Tamandua tetradactyla: one gene and its partner. The main gene of each other region encodes a partner of the protein of the gene in region 2 in a complex. Links are inferred from orthologs where the notes say so. Each region holds a gene or a part of one and is shown on either strand. Other genes may lie near its edges.

Region 1 (7,503 bases), on a different chromosome or scaffold from region 2:
GGAGGAAGAGCAAAGAAGGAAGGGAGGAAGAAGGAAAAAAAAGAAAGCACCTTTCCAGGCTTTGTAGATTGATTTGTGTGAGTGTTCCATGCCAAAGCAGAGTGGCTACTCCAATTCTTTCTGCACATGTGTCTTGGCTTGGGCATGTACATGTGGCCCTAGGAATTCCCCATTTTTATGGATATGATGTCCCCTGTTCTCTAGGAAACAGTTTCCTCATGGTCCTGAGCACTAAACTGTATGTCCTGCAACCAGCAATCCTTTGCCTTAGGCACCACAGTTTAACTGCTCTCCCACAGTGTTGTGTAGGAGTATTCTATGAGCTGCCTTCTACACACAGGGCAAGCTCTGATACAGTGAGTTCCTCAGACCACACCAGATAGATTTGCCAGACACATACATGTTCCCAGTATGTGCATAAGGTTATTCTACTCCTTCTGGAACCAGGACTGGGGATCCATACTAGGTGCATGGTCTGTCTCCATGCCAAGCCAGTGAGAGGTTTGGGGAGGCGTCAGCCAGGGCTTGAAGAAATCCTACATCTTTTAAGTAGCCTTTTCTTGATTTGCCCCTCGCCCCGTTAATACAATCCTTTAACTGTTTTCTGGAGCTTTTAGAAAGATGTTTCTGCCGGTTCATGCTGGTTGTTCAAAGCTTCCAAGGGGGATGGAGCCCTGAAGTGTCTCACTCTCTTATCTTGATTGGGGCCTTCAATGGTCTTTTGAGTTCTAGAATTTTAACATTTTCTGATAAGCCACTGTCTTATCCTCCAAAACTTCAATGGCTTTCCACTAACTATAGCCCAAAGTCTAAATTTTTTAGATTAGCATTCAAGGCTTGTCACTAATCTGGTGACCTTTTCCCCTGTTTTTCCATGGGAGAGTCTATTAGGAATATCTAATCAGTTTCTCAGAAATTTCTTACTTTTTCCTTCTTGCATCCTTTGCTTTTGGCTATATTCCTAATCCCCCAATTCCTACAGATATATCTACTTACTACTTTTTTTCTGGGTATCTGAATCCAATCTCTTCTATAAAATGTTTCCACCACCCCATCAAGGCAACCTAGCAACCTCTCTTTTTCTGCCCACAATACTTGATATTATTAGTTCAGTTCACTAAACTTCACCTCTATTATTATTTTGGGCTGTGGATACATTTAATTAAAGAGTTATTTAGCAGGGGGTGGAAGGCCAGTGCAAAGGAGTGAATTACTACTGCCTTAGGTATAAATTTCCACTGTCAGTGATTTCAAGAGGAGGCTGGCTGATTCCTTGTCAGGGTTTCTGAAGAGGTGATTTGTCACAAATTATTTAAGATTCCTTTTAACTTGAAATTCTATAAAGACATAGTTTTCTTTTCTTTTTTGGGGGGGGGTGGGTGGGTGCATGGGCCAAGAATCAAACCCAGGGCTCCTGCATGGCAGGTGAGTATTCTACCACTGAACCACCTGTGTATACTAAGACATAGTTTTCTGATTTGGTTCACAGAAACATTTACCTGTGGAAGCTCAGAGGGCTGTTGTAGGATTGGGAAAGGACGGTCAGGGTGGAGTCATGTATTCAGGATGGCTTCCAGGAACAGATGAGATCTTCCTATTTTCCACTCCCTATACCTCTTCCTCAGTATCTGCCTGGGCAAGAACCTCTTCGACTAATAAGGCTTAAATTATCAATTTAAATGAATCTGTCTCTAGGACATGGTCTTATAGAATCTACCAATCAGTAGCATTGGAATCATTTGGGAACTTATTAGATATGCAAACTCTCAGACTCACTGAATCAGAATCTGTATTTTAACAACTCCCCAGGTGATTTCTTCTTCTTCTTCTTCTTCTTTTTTTTTTTTTGCATGGGCACGCACAAGGAATTTAACCCGGGTCCTCGGCATGGCAGGCAAAAACTCGGCCTGCTGAGCCACCGTGGCCCGCCCTCCTAGGTGATTTCTTTATACATAAAACTTTTAGAAACATTACTATAGTGGACTGCAACCACTGAAAAGGATTTTGTAAATAATTGTATTGAACTGACATTTTATGCACCCTCTCCAAAAAAAAAAAAAAAAAAAAAGAAAGAAAGAAAGAAAGAAAAAGAAAAGAAACCTGGGATTCTTCATCTAGTTATCTTTTTCTCATACCCCACATCCTATCCATCAGCAAGACCTATGGGCTCCATCTTAATATATTTCCTGTAACTAACCACTTGTTTGCATCTCCTTTGTCACCACCTATTGCAAATCATGATTATCTCTTACTTGGATTACTACTGTATTCCCAAACTGGTTTGTTTTTGTTGTTGTTGTTTCATTTAACATTAAAAAAAAAATCTTGAAATAATTGCAGATTCAAACCAAGTTCCAATAAATGGACAGGGTAATCCTGTGTACCTTCCTTTAGTTTCCCCCAGCGGAAAAATCTTGAATAACTATAGTGTAATATTAAAACCAAGAAACTGACATTGGTACAATCCACTGAATTCATTCATATCTCACCAGTTGTACATACTCATTTGTCTAGTTCTATGCAACTTTATCACATGTGTAGATTCATATAACTGCAACCACAATCAAGATACAGAACTCTTCCATTATCACAAGTCTCTCATACTGCTCCTTTATAGCCACATTCATACCCTGTACCCTGCCATCTCTAATTCCCGGCAAACATAATTTGTTCTCCATTTCTCTAATTTTATTTCAAGGATGCTATATAAATGGAATCATACTGTATACAACCTTTTTGACACTGCCTTATCTTTTTTTCCACTTAGCATAATTCTCTTTAGATCCATTGAAGTTGTTTTATATATCAACTGTTTTTTTTTTAATGGCTGAGTATTTCATGGTCTGGATGTACCATGGTTTGTTCAACTATTCACCAAGTAAAGACCACCTGTTCTGTTCCTAATTTTTGACTAATGCAAATAAAGCTGCTACGAACATTTGTGTTCAGTGTGATTGTGTTCATTTTTGGTGTGAACAGAACATAAGTTTTCAATTCTGTTCAAGAATGCCATTGCTGGGTGATGCTGTAAATTCGTGTTTGGTTTTACAAGAAACGGCAAGACTGTTTTCAAGAGCGGCTATATAATTTAAAATTCCTATCAGCAATGCATTGTGGGTGATTCAGGTTTTCTGCATCCTTGGCGGCATTTAGTGTTGTTACTAAATTTTCATTTTAGCCATTTGACAGTGTATAGTGATACCTCATTGTGGTTTTAATTTGCATTGCCCTAATGGCAAATGATGTCTAACATCTCTTCATGTACTTACTTGCCATCTGTATATCCTCTTCAACGAAATGACCTGTCTTTTGCCTACTTTCTAATTTTTTTTTAACTGTTGAGTTTTGAAAGTTCTTTATATAGTCTAGGTATAGGTCCATTATTAGATATGTGGTTTGCAAATATTTTCTCCCACTCTAACTTGTCTTTTCATCCTTCTCACAAAGTCTTTCCCAAGGCAAAAGCTTTTAATTTCGATGAATCTAATTTATTAACTGTTTTCTTTTATGGATTTGGCATTTGTTGTCAAATCTAAACATTCTTCCTTTAGCCCTCAGCTCGGAAGATTTTCTTCTTTTTTTCCTAGACATTTTATAGTTTAAAATTTTATGATCTGCTTTGAGTGAATTTTATATAAACTGTGAGGTCTAGGTCAAGGTTTTTTTTGCCTGTAGATGTCCAATGGCTCCAGTATCATTTGGTGAAAAGTCTCTTGATTCCACTTTTGTCCCATCTCTTCATCCATTCCCCTCACGGCAGTCAGAATGATTTTTAAAAAATAAGATGATGTCATTCTCTGTTCCAAACCCTACAATGACTTCCTACCACAATCTGGCCCCTCTCCAATGGGATGCCTACCGCTGGATGTCTTCAGTCATCTGGAATGCTCCCCCACTTCATTCAGGTCTAGTCTATTATTACTGTCAGTTCCTCAGAGATTTCCTCGACTAGACTTTTTCTTTTCCAACTAGACTTTGAATGTAGCCTTCCTCTTTAACTTTTTCCCCTTGCCTTGTTCTTTATAGCACTTACATAAAACGTTATTATACTACATATCAATTTATTGCTTATTGCTTGCCCCCCTTCTCCCCAAAACCCCACCAGAAACCCCAAGAGTTTACTGCTATATCCCCAGGGCCTAGAATACTGCCTAGAACATGGTAGGTACTCAATTATTTATTGCATGACTTGCTGAAAAAAGGATTGAATAAATATGAGGGAGCAGTACGTCAAATTTATGTAAGACGCTCCTTCAGACTTCGTGAATGGTCTGAGCGCCACCTCTCGGCGGTACCAGTTTGCTTAAAAAAACAAAACAAAACAAAAACGAGGCCGCCTGCCGGAAGAGCACGAAACTAGTGCCGGAAATTAAACATCGGAAGTTTGCGCCCTAGAATGACATCCTACCCATAGAAGGAAGCGTGGACGAATGGTGTCTTCTAAAATGGGACCTTCCCTGCCAGACCTCAGCAGAAGCGTTCCGTGTCCGTCAGTGCTGGGAACCACGTGGGGCCGGGGCGGGTTTCCGGTGTCTGTGGCAGCAGCCAGAGTTGAAGGCCAAGCAGCTGGAGGGGTAAGAGGGGTTCCGGATCTGGAATAGCAAGAAGAATGGGGTCCGGGATGAAGAGGGCGTTTGACGTTCGCCCTGAGAGGCGGGGGGGCGGGGGGGGGGGGAGGTGTGTGTGAGATGGAAGGGAAGGGATGAGGACCCTTTGTCAGCAGGTGCAAACCTGTCAGTGCACCTCCCACGCCACGTGGACTCGCCTTTGTACGTGGCTGCCTTTCACACCGGGCCGCGAGGTCTGGGGTTGTGCTTTATTTGACTCTCTCAAGAACAGTGCCTGGCCAATAGTTGGCGCGGGGTTTGTTGAGTGAATCACAGTGTTTGTGTAGCGGGGTTTGGAGAGGGACATTTGTAGGAGTGATTTCTGTTTTTTTTTTTAGCCCCATTTTCTCCTGGCAAAGCCTTGCTTTCATCTGGGGTTCTCCAGATAGCCTTTGAGGTTTGGTATCTCTTTTTTCGAGGGGAGGGGAGATAATAATTTAAGACGTTTTGTTCGCTTTTCCTGAGTGCTAGGCCATGTGGCTAGGTATTGGAAATTCGCACAGAATTAAACCAGCCCTCTCTGCAGGTCACAGACCAGACATTTATGCAGAAAATTCAAATACAATGTTAAGGTGCTGTGATAGGCCGTAAGTAAAGTATGAAGGCCAAGAGTCAGGAGGTGGCTGCTCTCCACATCAAGGATTGTCTTCCAAGATGAGGGGCCTTTCTCATTGTGTTGACACAGAGCAGGTCATGAGCTGATTCTCCTCTGTAAAAGGAAGAATCGAGATTAGATGCTCTCTAGACTCCTTTCCAGCACAGTAATCTGTGAAATTACAATCTCATATCAGATATTACTAATGACTGTAATTCTTCCTCCATCTATTGTTTATCCGCTAGTCAGAATATTCACTGCATCTTAGGGTATAGCATAAGTTGCATAGGGTTGGGGTTGGGAAACAGGTTGGACCCATTTCCTCATTTGTAAAATGAAGGGGTTGTAATGAAACAATCTAGAAAACTCCTTCCAGTTCTAATACCATGGCTGTGGCACTGGGTCAAACCTTGTTTCTTACTGTCTTGTTACCCTATGTCATTTTCACATGTAGTTTTCCCCATCTGGATTATTGAGAAAGAGGATGTCTTAGTTTTACACCCCTATCTTAGTCTGTCACTGTATTGGGTATACAGTAGGTACTTAAAACTTACTGAGGGAGCCTGGTGCCACTGCCACCCCGCGACGACCACCACCGCCCCCTGTCCTGCAGCCACTGCCTGTTTCGCCGCCGCCTTGGAACCAGCTGTATGATTAGGCCACAATCTTCAATGAGTAAACATATTCCTCAGTTCTGTGGTGTTCTTGGTCACACATTTGTGGAGTTTCTGAAGGGCAGCGGAGATTACTGCCAGGCACAGCACGACCTCTATGCAGACAAGTGAACTGTAGAACTCATTAGTACTCCACCAAGAAACCCCCATAAGAGTGGTTAACCTGGACACAGAAGTGTTGAATTGAAATCTGCAGAGCATTTTACAAGAGTTCTGATCTGGATGGGGTAAACCTCAGTGCACTACTTTAAATTGCCTCAGTATTACTGGATTGAAGAATCGCTGCTTCTTGTTAGGAGGTCCATTTCATTTCCCATTCCTCGCAACTTCATACTCAAAGCACTGAGAATTTCAAGTGGAGTATATTGAAGTAGACTTCAGTTTCTTTACATCGTTTCTGTATTCAATTTTTAAAATTTTTTCATAGCCCTTTGAGTGTTTTTAACTAAATTAACATGGCTCGAATGAACCGCCCAGCTCCTGTGGAAGTCACATACAAGAACATGAGATTTCTTATTACACACAATCCGACCAATGCAACCTTAAGCAAATTTGTAGAGGAACTTAAGAAGTATGGCGTTAGCACAATAGTGAGAGTATGTTAAGCAACTTATGACACTGCTCTTGTGGAGAAAGAAGGCATCCATGTTCTTGATTGGCCTTTTGATGATGGTGCACCACCATCCAACCAGATTGTTGATGATTGGTTAAGTCTTGTAAAAATTAAGTTTCGTGAAGAACCTGGTGGCTGCATTGCTGTTCATTGTGTTGGAGGTCTTGGGAGAGCTCCAGTGCTTGTTGCCCTAGCATTGATTGAAGGTGGAATGAAATATGAAGATGCAGTACAGTTCATAAGACAAAAGCGGCGTGGAGCTTTTAACAGCAAGCAGCTTTTGTATTTGGAGAAATATCGTCCTAAGATGTGGCTGCGCTTCAAAGACTCCAGTGGTCACAGAAACAACTGTTGCATTCAATAAAACTGGGGTGCCTGATGCCATTGCCTTGGAAGTGGAACTTGAGAGAGGAAGAACCTAATTTGTCGTACATATTAGCCACCATGTCGGTGAATAAGTCCAGTTGAAGCTTCCATAGGAGTATTGAAAAGCAGTTTTACCATGCTACAAGTTTGACAGAATTGCAGCCTCTATGTTTAGGTTACAATCAGCTTGTTTGGACACTTAGCAAAAGATTTCTTGCTGGTCAGCATTTAAAATGGGCTTATCATTTGTGACAGTTGACCTTTCCTGAAATCATGCAGTATTGAGTTATAAGTCCTCTTTTAAGTCTCTTATGCCACAATCTTATCAATATATAAGAAATTTAGAGAGATTAGCTGCCAAAATACCCAGCACAATACTTGTATATTTTTAGTATCATTCAGAATTTAAAATCCCAGGAACTATGAACACTCTAGACCTTATGTGGTTTATTCCTTCAGTCATTTCAAACATTGAAAGTAGGTCTGTTTGGTTATCTGCCTGGTCACTTTATGTTTACATCTCCCACATTCATACCAGTATACATCAGGTTTGCACAGCCATTGAATTTTGTTAGATTTTTACCAAGTCTTACGGTGATTATTTAATGTCTATAACTCATTTTGTGATGTTAGAGAAAACCTCCATTT
Region 2 (7,182 bases):
TTCCTTATGGGTCTTACTTACGAGGTCTAGCCTGTGAACTCTTGTACTTTGTTCCCATCCTTGATTTATTTACCCTGCTCAGTTCTAAGACTTGGTTCAGGGAGGGCTAGGTGTTGGGAGAACCAAGAAAGTGGTTTATTTGGTTTAATTCTGCTTCTGTACAGCAGGTAAACAGAAGGCATGCATAAGAAAAGGAAGCTGTTAGCTACTATGGAAGAGGGTCCTGCCCCTAGGACCAAAGGCTGAACCAAGAGGTCTTTGAACCTGGGGCATGGATCAGGTGAAGGCCACACAGCCACAGTTAATTTTGGTAGGGTTCCGTAAGGAAGCAGAAGATATGGGGAGTGGGCCCTGCTGGGAGTCTAATCATCACTGTGCCTGCCTCTGGCATGAGCTACAGATTGCTTCCTGTTCCTCTTGAGGTTTGTTGGAAGTGGTAGAAAAATCCTAGCTTGGGATGCCAGGACCTCAAGACTGGGAAGAACTGTAAACACCTTGCAGCCCACCCTCCATCCAGTAATTCAGTCTCCTGCAGAGCACTCCAAGGGGCCAGTTCCTAGGTTGGAATGACTCCACTGGCTAGGAGTATCTTAAGTCTTCTCATCTCTGAGTTCCTTAAAACACTGCTGGATTCTGGTTTGCATCTGAATACATTCTGATTGGTCTGGTCCATCCTGAAAGCAGTGCTCACTCTGAACACAGTACGGCAGTGTAGGAGGAGCGGCACAGTGGGGGACACAACCCTGGTGCTTAGCTCATAGTAGCTGATTGCTCATTTCATATTTGTTCTTTAATGAATCAACTCCAGAAACCAAGTTTTCACCAGCTTTTTTGGCAGGCACACCAACATTCCATTCCTGTTGAGCTTCTCCACGAGGACATTTAAAAACAGCCATTTAATGAGTGCTGACTATAGGCCAGATACTGTGCCAGCGGCCTTCCATTCATTAGCTCCCGTGACACCCTCATAGCCCTGCTTCCTCATACCTAGTGCAGAGCCTGGCTTATTGTAAGTATTTGGTGAGTGAATAAATGCTAAACTGTAGGAAGTGTAGTATGGATGAGGGTGAGTTTCAGGCCAGGTGTCAAGTCTCCAGAGTCATTGTCCTTGATCACTGTCTCACACCAGTGAGTCTCTTCAGAATTCTTTCCTGCTTTTTGTGCTTAAGTAGAACTCCACTACCACATGGCTGCCTGTCTGCTTTGGAGTGAAAACCAAGCAGGAACAGGATTCTCAAGGCTCTAAAGCAATGTGATGCAATACCAATAATCAAGAAGGCTGCAGTTGTCTTATGGTCCTTAACTATCCCCTCATATCTTTATCTTTCCTACTGTGTCTCTAGTAGCCCTAGGGGTCCAGGGTTGTTCCCCAGGGACTGGCAGGGGTTCTGAGCAAATAAGAGTTCACTCCCAATTTAACCAGATCAGCGTGTTACCTATTTGGTATATTGGAACTTTACCAAAAACTTCACTTAAAAAGAAGGTTCCCATGCTATTGAAAAGTAAATTGGAAACCCCTGTGTCATATATGAAGGTGGACTTTCGCCCAAGTAGTTTCAGGGGCTTTAGTGGACTAGTTCGGAATCAGTTCTAACCTTATTTAAATTCCAGTTTCCCACAAAATCCCACATAACTTGGCAACTGAAGAACATGTAGCATGTCTGCTGTGTAGGATTTGCTCTAAATGAGTTCACCCAAAATAGAATGAGACTCTGCTTCTAATGACATACTGAGGAATATTTTGGTCCACTGGGCTTTGTGCTAACACCCTGCAGGTGCATGAAAGGTATGCACAAGCTAGACCCAGGGGTTGTTTTAGAATTGCCCTCCCACCTACCAAGCTAGTCCTGCCTCATACTCCCCTGAGCTGTGTGGACTGTGCAAACTGCAGTGGTTGTGTTGGGATTTGGTTCCTTGGTAAAAGTCATCCCTTTGCCCCTGGGACCTGGGAGAGAGTGTGCCTAGAGCCCTTCGTCAGTGCACAAGGCCACTGCAGACACCTCACGCTTGGCAGCAGAGGAGCCTGATGTCTTCTGACAAATGGTCTTCCTTGCTCTGAGTGTGATCTCATCGGTTCCAACCATAGTGAAGTCCACATTTGTCACAGCAGGAGCTCTGTTCAGTCCTTTGATGGTGGGCCTAGAATATTTCTCTCACACCAAATAATGGCTTGTACCATATTTGGTATCAATGGCAAGAAAGAGCCCAGGAGCTGGGTGGAAGCCAGGCCTCCTGGGTCCAGGGAGTTTGCTCCCATTTCCTGCGTGATGCAGTATCAGGTGAGGGACTGTCATCTCTAACCACAGCAGTCCAATAAAGGTCAGTACCCCTGTTTTCATGAAAAAAATGAGTTTCACAGCAAGTAGGTGGTAGTCAGCATTCAAACCCAAGTCTGGATGAACTGAGTCTCTTCTTTGTACTGCTGTGATCTGATTTCCCATTGCCTGTAGTGAAAAGTGAGGGTGAATGGTAGATTGGGGTTGGGAAGTGTTACATCTCTCTGGACCCTTGTTTTTTAGGTTCCAGTGTATGTTCCAGGTGCTGCCACAGTGTCTCAGCCCAGAGACACCCCTGCCTAGTGTGCTGTTGACCATTAAGCTCCTCTCTCTCCTGGTGGACCACGAGAAGCTCACCCCTCAGCTCTGTTCCCACTCAGGTAAAATGGGGTGGTGGGTGGACATCTGGGCTGCTGCAGATTGGAGGGAAAGGTTGTGGAGGGTCAGGGCCTCCTGGGGGCTTCTGCAGCTCATACCCTGAGCTCTGGGTGAGAAGGGGGCTCTGAGTGAGAGGTGGGCATCCTTTTCAGAAGGCTGCCTCCTCCTTCTGCTGTACACGTACATCACATCAAGGCCTGACAGAGTGGCCTCAGAGACACAGTGGCTTCAGCTGGAACAAGAGGTAAAATCTCCAGAGACCTTTCCAGGGACTGCTCACCATCCCACTCATGCCAAGGCCCCACGGAACCTCCTTTCTCTATCCTTCCCATCCTGAGAAGCGTGGGAGCTTTAATTCATTTAGGTAAGAGTTTATCAGGCAGCTGAGGAGGTGAACTTGGTTTGGGGACCCCATGCCATGCAGGTGCATGCCAGGTTGTCCTGGGACTTGCCAGAGTTACCTGATGACTAAGCCTGTTCTGACTTTGGGTCTGGTGACTTGAGCAGGACCTGGAGGCAAATGGGGTTTTTGGAGAGACACATGACAGTTGTGAGTCTGGCCCAGAAAAGCCCAGCACCCTTGGACCCCATTTGTGCAAACAAGCTGGAGCTCTTTTAGAAGCCTGAGAAAGCCCTTGCTTATAATCAGGGCCTCATTATGGTGGCTACAGAACAGTCTTCTTGTTCTAGGCGGTGTGGCTTCTGACTAAGCTTGGTGTGCAGAGCCCCTCCTCCCCAGCCACTGGCTCCAACTGCCAGTGCAATGTGGAGGTGAGTGGACAGGGGCGGGCAGGGGCTGACAGCATGGCAGCTCTGTTGGTGGATAAGGTGGCCCTGGGCAAGGACCCTATGCTCCCTTTAATCATGCTACCCATCACTCAGAACCTTCCTCTCCTGGGTGGGTGGGAAATGTGCTGGTCAGCCTCGTGAGCTGTTAGGGTGCAGGCAGCTGAAAGACTTGACCTCAGTCTGCACCCTCCACCAGGCTGTCAGAGCACTCACAGTGATGCTGCACAGACAGTGGCTAACGGTGCGGAGGGCAGAGGGGCCTCCAAAGACTGACCGGCATAAGCGAATAGTACGATGTCTGCGGGACACAGTGCTGCTGCTGCACAGCCTGTCCCAGAAGGACAAGCTCTTTACTGTGCACTGCGTGGAGGTCCTGCATCAGTATGACCAGGTGATGCCAGGGGTCAGCACGCTCATTCGAGGGCTCCCTGATGTGACAGACTGTGAAGGTGAGTGGGCAAGAGAACCCAGCCCTGTCCTAGCCCTCATGTGGGGTTTTCCCTGAAGTTCATGGACAGGTTAGACTTCTTGCCTTCCTTCAGCAGTCCTCCATCCACCACAGCTCTTTACAACACTGGCGACAGTCTCATTGTCTTGCTCCAGTTCTTTTAGACACGTTGAACTGCCGTTTGCTTATATGTTTTGTTGAGTTGGCCTGGCAGAGCCACGGTTTTTCCAGAGATATCCCTATCTGAATTGCCTTTGTATCACTTTGCTTGCAGTAGCTGAGGGAGCAAGGCCTGGGCGTGGAAGGGACTGGTTAGTTCCTGCGGGTTTTGGGGGAGGAGAGGTGGGACCTCCCCTATTCCCCAGCACTTTCAAGCCTTCATCATAGAACCCTCTTTTTCACTCAGAGGCAGCCCTGGATGACCTTTGTGCTGCTGAGACAGATGTAGACGACCCCGAGATGGACTGTGGCTGAGGTCCGTGAGCATCATGCCACATGGTGGCGCCAGCACTCCTGCTTTCCTCATCTCATCAACTGATTAAAAGCTGTGACAGGTTGTTCTTGCCAAGAACATGCCAGCCTTGGTGTTGTGTTTCCTGAGTCTGTCTGTGTTTGTCTGAGTGGGAGGGATGGAACAGGACTGGTCCCAGGGAAGGCTGGGATCCTTCCTCCTGTCCCTGCCCAGAGTTGAGACCCCATCCCCATGGTAACTAATCTGCTTTGAGGAAAGAGCTCTGCCCAGCCTGTGAAATTGTCCTGAGTCATTGTTTTGGGCTGGGGCCATGGGAAGAAATCAGTGTAAGGCAGGGAAGGAGGTGGCCTTCAGCCCAGGCCTAAACCAGGGAGGTCTGGGAAAGTGGAGCCGAGGGGTGGGCACAAAAGGGTCACAGCAGGAGCTCCCAGCAGTGTTTGAGTCATGGAGCTAGCCTCCCCAGACAGCCTGGGCACCCCTTGTATTTTCAGTTGGTGTCAGCTGGCAAGTCCACAGCTGTGGATCTAAGAAGCCTTAAGGGTGCCATGGCAGCTAGGGGGGAAGGGAGGGTTGCCTGGGGAGGGAACGGGTGTTGGCGAGAGAGGCCCAGGCAGGCTAAGAGAAGAGCAGGGCGGGCCTTGCTCACGCGGGCCTGTGGGCGGGCAAAGGCTGAGTTTCACTTCCCGCCACTGCTGGCCCTTGGCGAGAACCAGCCAGAGCACGCCAGAGTGATTGTGCCTGCCTGCTATTCGGTGAGTGCAGACCCCCAGGGGGATGGGACAGGGTGGATGGCTGTGGGGAGCCCCACCAGGCTAGGTGAGCACTGGGGGAGGGGGCCAAACCCACATGAAGAAGACAGGCCCACCCTCCCTCCAAACTGATAGAGTGTATGCTCCCACTGAGGAAGCTCCCCCGCTCCCCAGCTTCCTGCCCTCCCCACCTTAGATAACTTTTCCACAGGAGCATTCACAATGCCCCACCCCTTCCCCAGGCTCAGCGGCAGGTACTTGCCCCACCATGGGCTCACAGGCCCCACCCCCGGGTCCCATGCAGACCTTCATCTTCTTGGACCTGGAGGCCACTGGCCTGCCCTTTTCCCAGCCCAAGGTCACGGAACTGTGCCTGCTAGCCATCCACAGATGTGCCCTGGAGAGCCCCCCTGCGCCCCAGGGGCCAACCCCTACAGTGCCTCCACTACCCCGGGTGGTAGACAAGCTCTCCCTCTGCGTGGCTCCAGGGAAGGTCTGCAGCCCTGCGGCCAGCAACATCACGGGCCTGAGCACGGCTATGCTGGCAGCACATGGGCGGCAGCGCTTCAATGCCGACCTGGCCAACCTGCTCCAAACCTTCCTACAACGCCAGCCACAGCCCTGGTGCCTGGTAGCACACAACGGTGATCGCTATGACTTCCCCCTGCTCCAGGCAGAGCTGGCTGCAGTGGGCCTTGCCAACACACTGGATGGTGCCTTCTGCGTGGACAGCATCGCTGCCCTGAAGGCCCTGGAGCGAGGCAGCAGCCCCTCTGCGCATGGCCCAAGAAAGAGCTACAGCTTGGGCAGCATCTACACACGCCTATTTGGGCAGAGCCCACCAGACTCGCACACAGCTGAGGGTGACGTCCTGGCCCTGCTCAGCATCTGTCAGTGGAGGCCACAGGCCCTGCTGCGGTGGGTGGATGCTCACGCTAGGCCCTTCAGCACTATCAAACCCATGTACATGGTCACAGCCTCCACTGGGACCAACCCTAGGTCATCTGCTGCCAAAGCCACCGCACCCCTGGCTGTACCCAAAGACACCAGTCCCAGCACAAGGGTGGGCAGGAAGTCCAAGTCTCCTCCTCCAGTGAAGGGCCCTGGAGCCCTACCCAAGAAGGGGCTGCTGGCCCCACTGGGCCTACTGACCCTCCTGACCTTGTTAATAGCCATACTGTATGGGCTGTCCCTGAGTATCCCTGGGCAGTAAGGCCAACAAGGAAAATCTGACTAATAAAGACCCCAACAGCACTACCTGGTCACTCGCCTCCTGCCCTCCTTTGCAACCTGGGCCTCTGCCCACACAGGAACCTGGGGGAGGAGGGGAGATCACAGACCGTGGCACAGTCTTTGTCTTCCACCCTTCCCAGCAGGATGGTCAGAAGTCTAAGCCCAATAAAAGTAGAACCTGGTCAAAAACTGAAATTGTAAGTGTTGAATGGAAATGGTACATCCCAACAGCCAAGGCTATGAAGAAAGGGGCTGCCGCTCCAAATTTGTATTTATTATAAAGAAGTATATAGACCACAGATCCTTTCTTAGAAACACATTAGCAGATACAAAGCTAAGACATTTCTGGTGAAACATTAACAAAAGGGATGGGGAACACCAGGGTATTCATGTCTAGGCCAGAGCTGCCATCCAAGGGCACTGCCCACCTTCGGTCCAGATGGCCCCTGGGTCCAGGTGTCCCCACTGCCAGTATGAATTGTGGACTGAGGTTCAAGAAGCTGGATCACCGTAGGGGTGGTGTCTGGGGAAGTAGGGACTACGAGAAGCTATATTTCCTCTTTTCTGTAAGACGATTTCTCCCCAGGACCCAGAGGTTTCAGCCTCACAGCAAACATCACACACACTTGGAAACAGAACACAGTGGGTAATATTTGGCTAAAAGTAAAACACTGCAGGGAAGAGACCTGAGTCTGTTGGCGGACAGAGGCCACCCTGCCAACCTGTGGCAGGAGTTTGGGCCAGCAAGGGCAGGAAAGCTTCCCCAAGGGCAGCCGTAACCATGGGTGGACGTGGACGTCCAGGTGGTCCCAGGGAGGATGCAGGGCATAGGGAGAG

The links. Proteins that work in one complex are often made in the same cells at the same time.
Region 1: TREX1 (region 2) and nucleoside diphosphate kinase A share a complex: the UniProt entries of both Homo sapiens proteins name them as parts of the SET complex. The link is inferred for Tamandua tetradactyla from reciprocal best matches to the Homo sapiens genes TREX1 and NME1.

Annotation. Positions count from the first base shown.
Region 1 is NC_135332.1:32,271,329-32,278,831, forward strand, and holds the start of nucleoside diphosphate kinase A, read left to right. Parts: upstream 1-4,446; 5' UTR 4,447-4,574; intron 4,575-6,213; exon of another isoform or gene 6,214-7,503. UniProt on the Homo sapiens protein: Major role in the synthesis of nucleoside triphosphates other than ATP. The ATP gamma phosphate is transferred to the NDP beta phosphate via a ping-pong mechanism, using a phosphorylated active-site intermediate.
Region 2 is NC_135341.1:37,817,523-37,824,704, reverse strand, and holds TREX1 (three-prime repair exonuclease 1), read left to right. Parts: upstream 1-4,591; 5' UTR 4,592-4,908; coding exon 4,909-5,115; intron 5,116-5,354; exon of another isoform or gene 5,355-5,380; coding exon of another isoform or gene 5,381-5,464; coding exon 5,465-6,325; 3' UTR 6,326-6,600; downstream 6,601-7,182. Other genes in the region: ATRIP (ATR-interacting protein), read left to right, coding at 2,520-2,656, 2,807-2,898, 3,345-3,425, 3,640-3,892, 4,298-4,365. UniProt on the Homo sapiens protein: Major cellular 3'-to-5' DNA exonuclease which digests single-stranded DNA (ssDNA) and double-stranded DNA (dsDNA) with mismatched 3' termini. Prevents cell-intrinsic initiation of autoimmunity.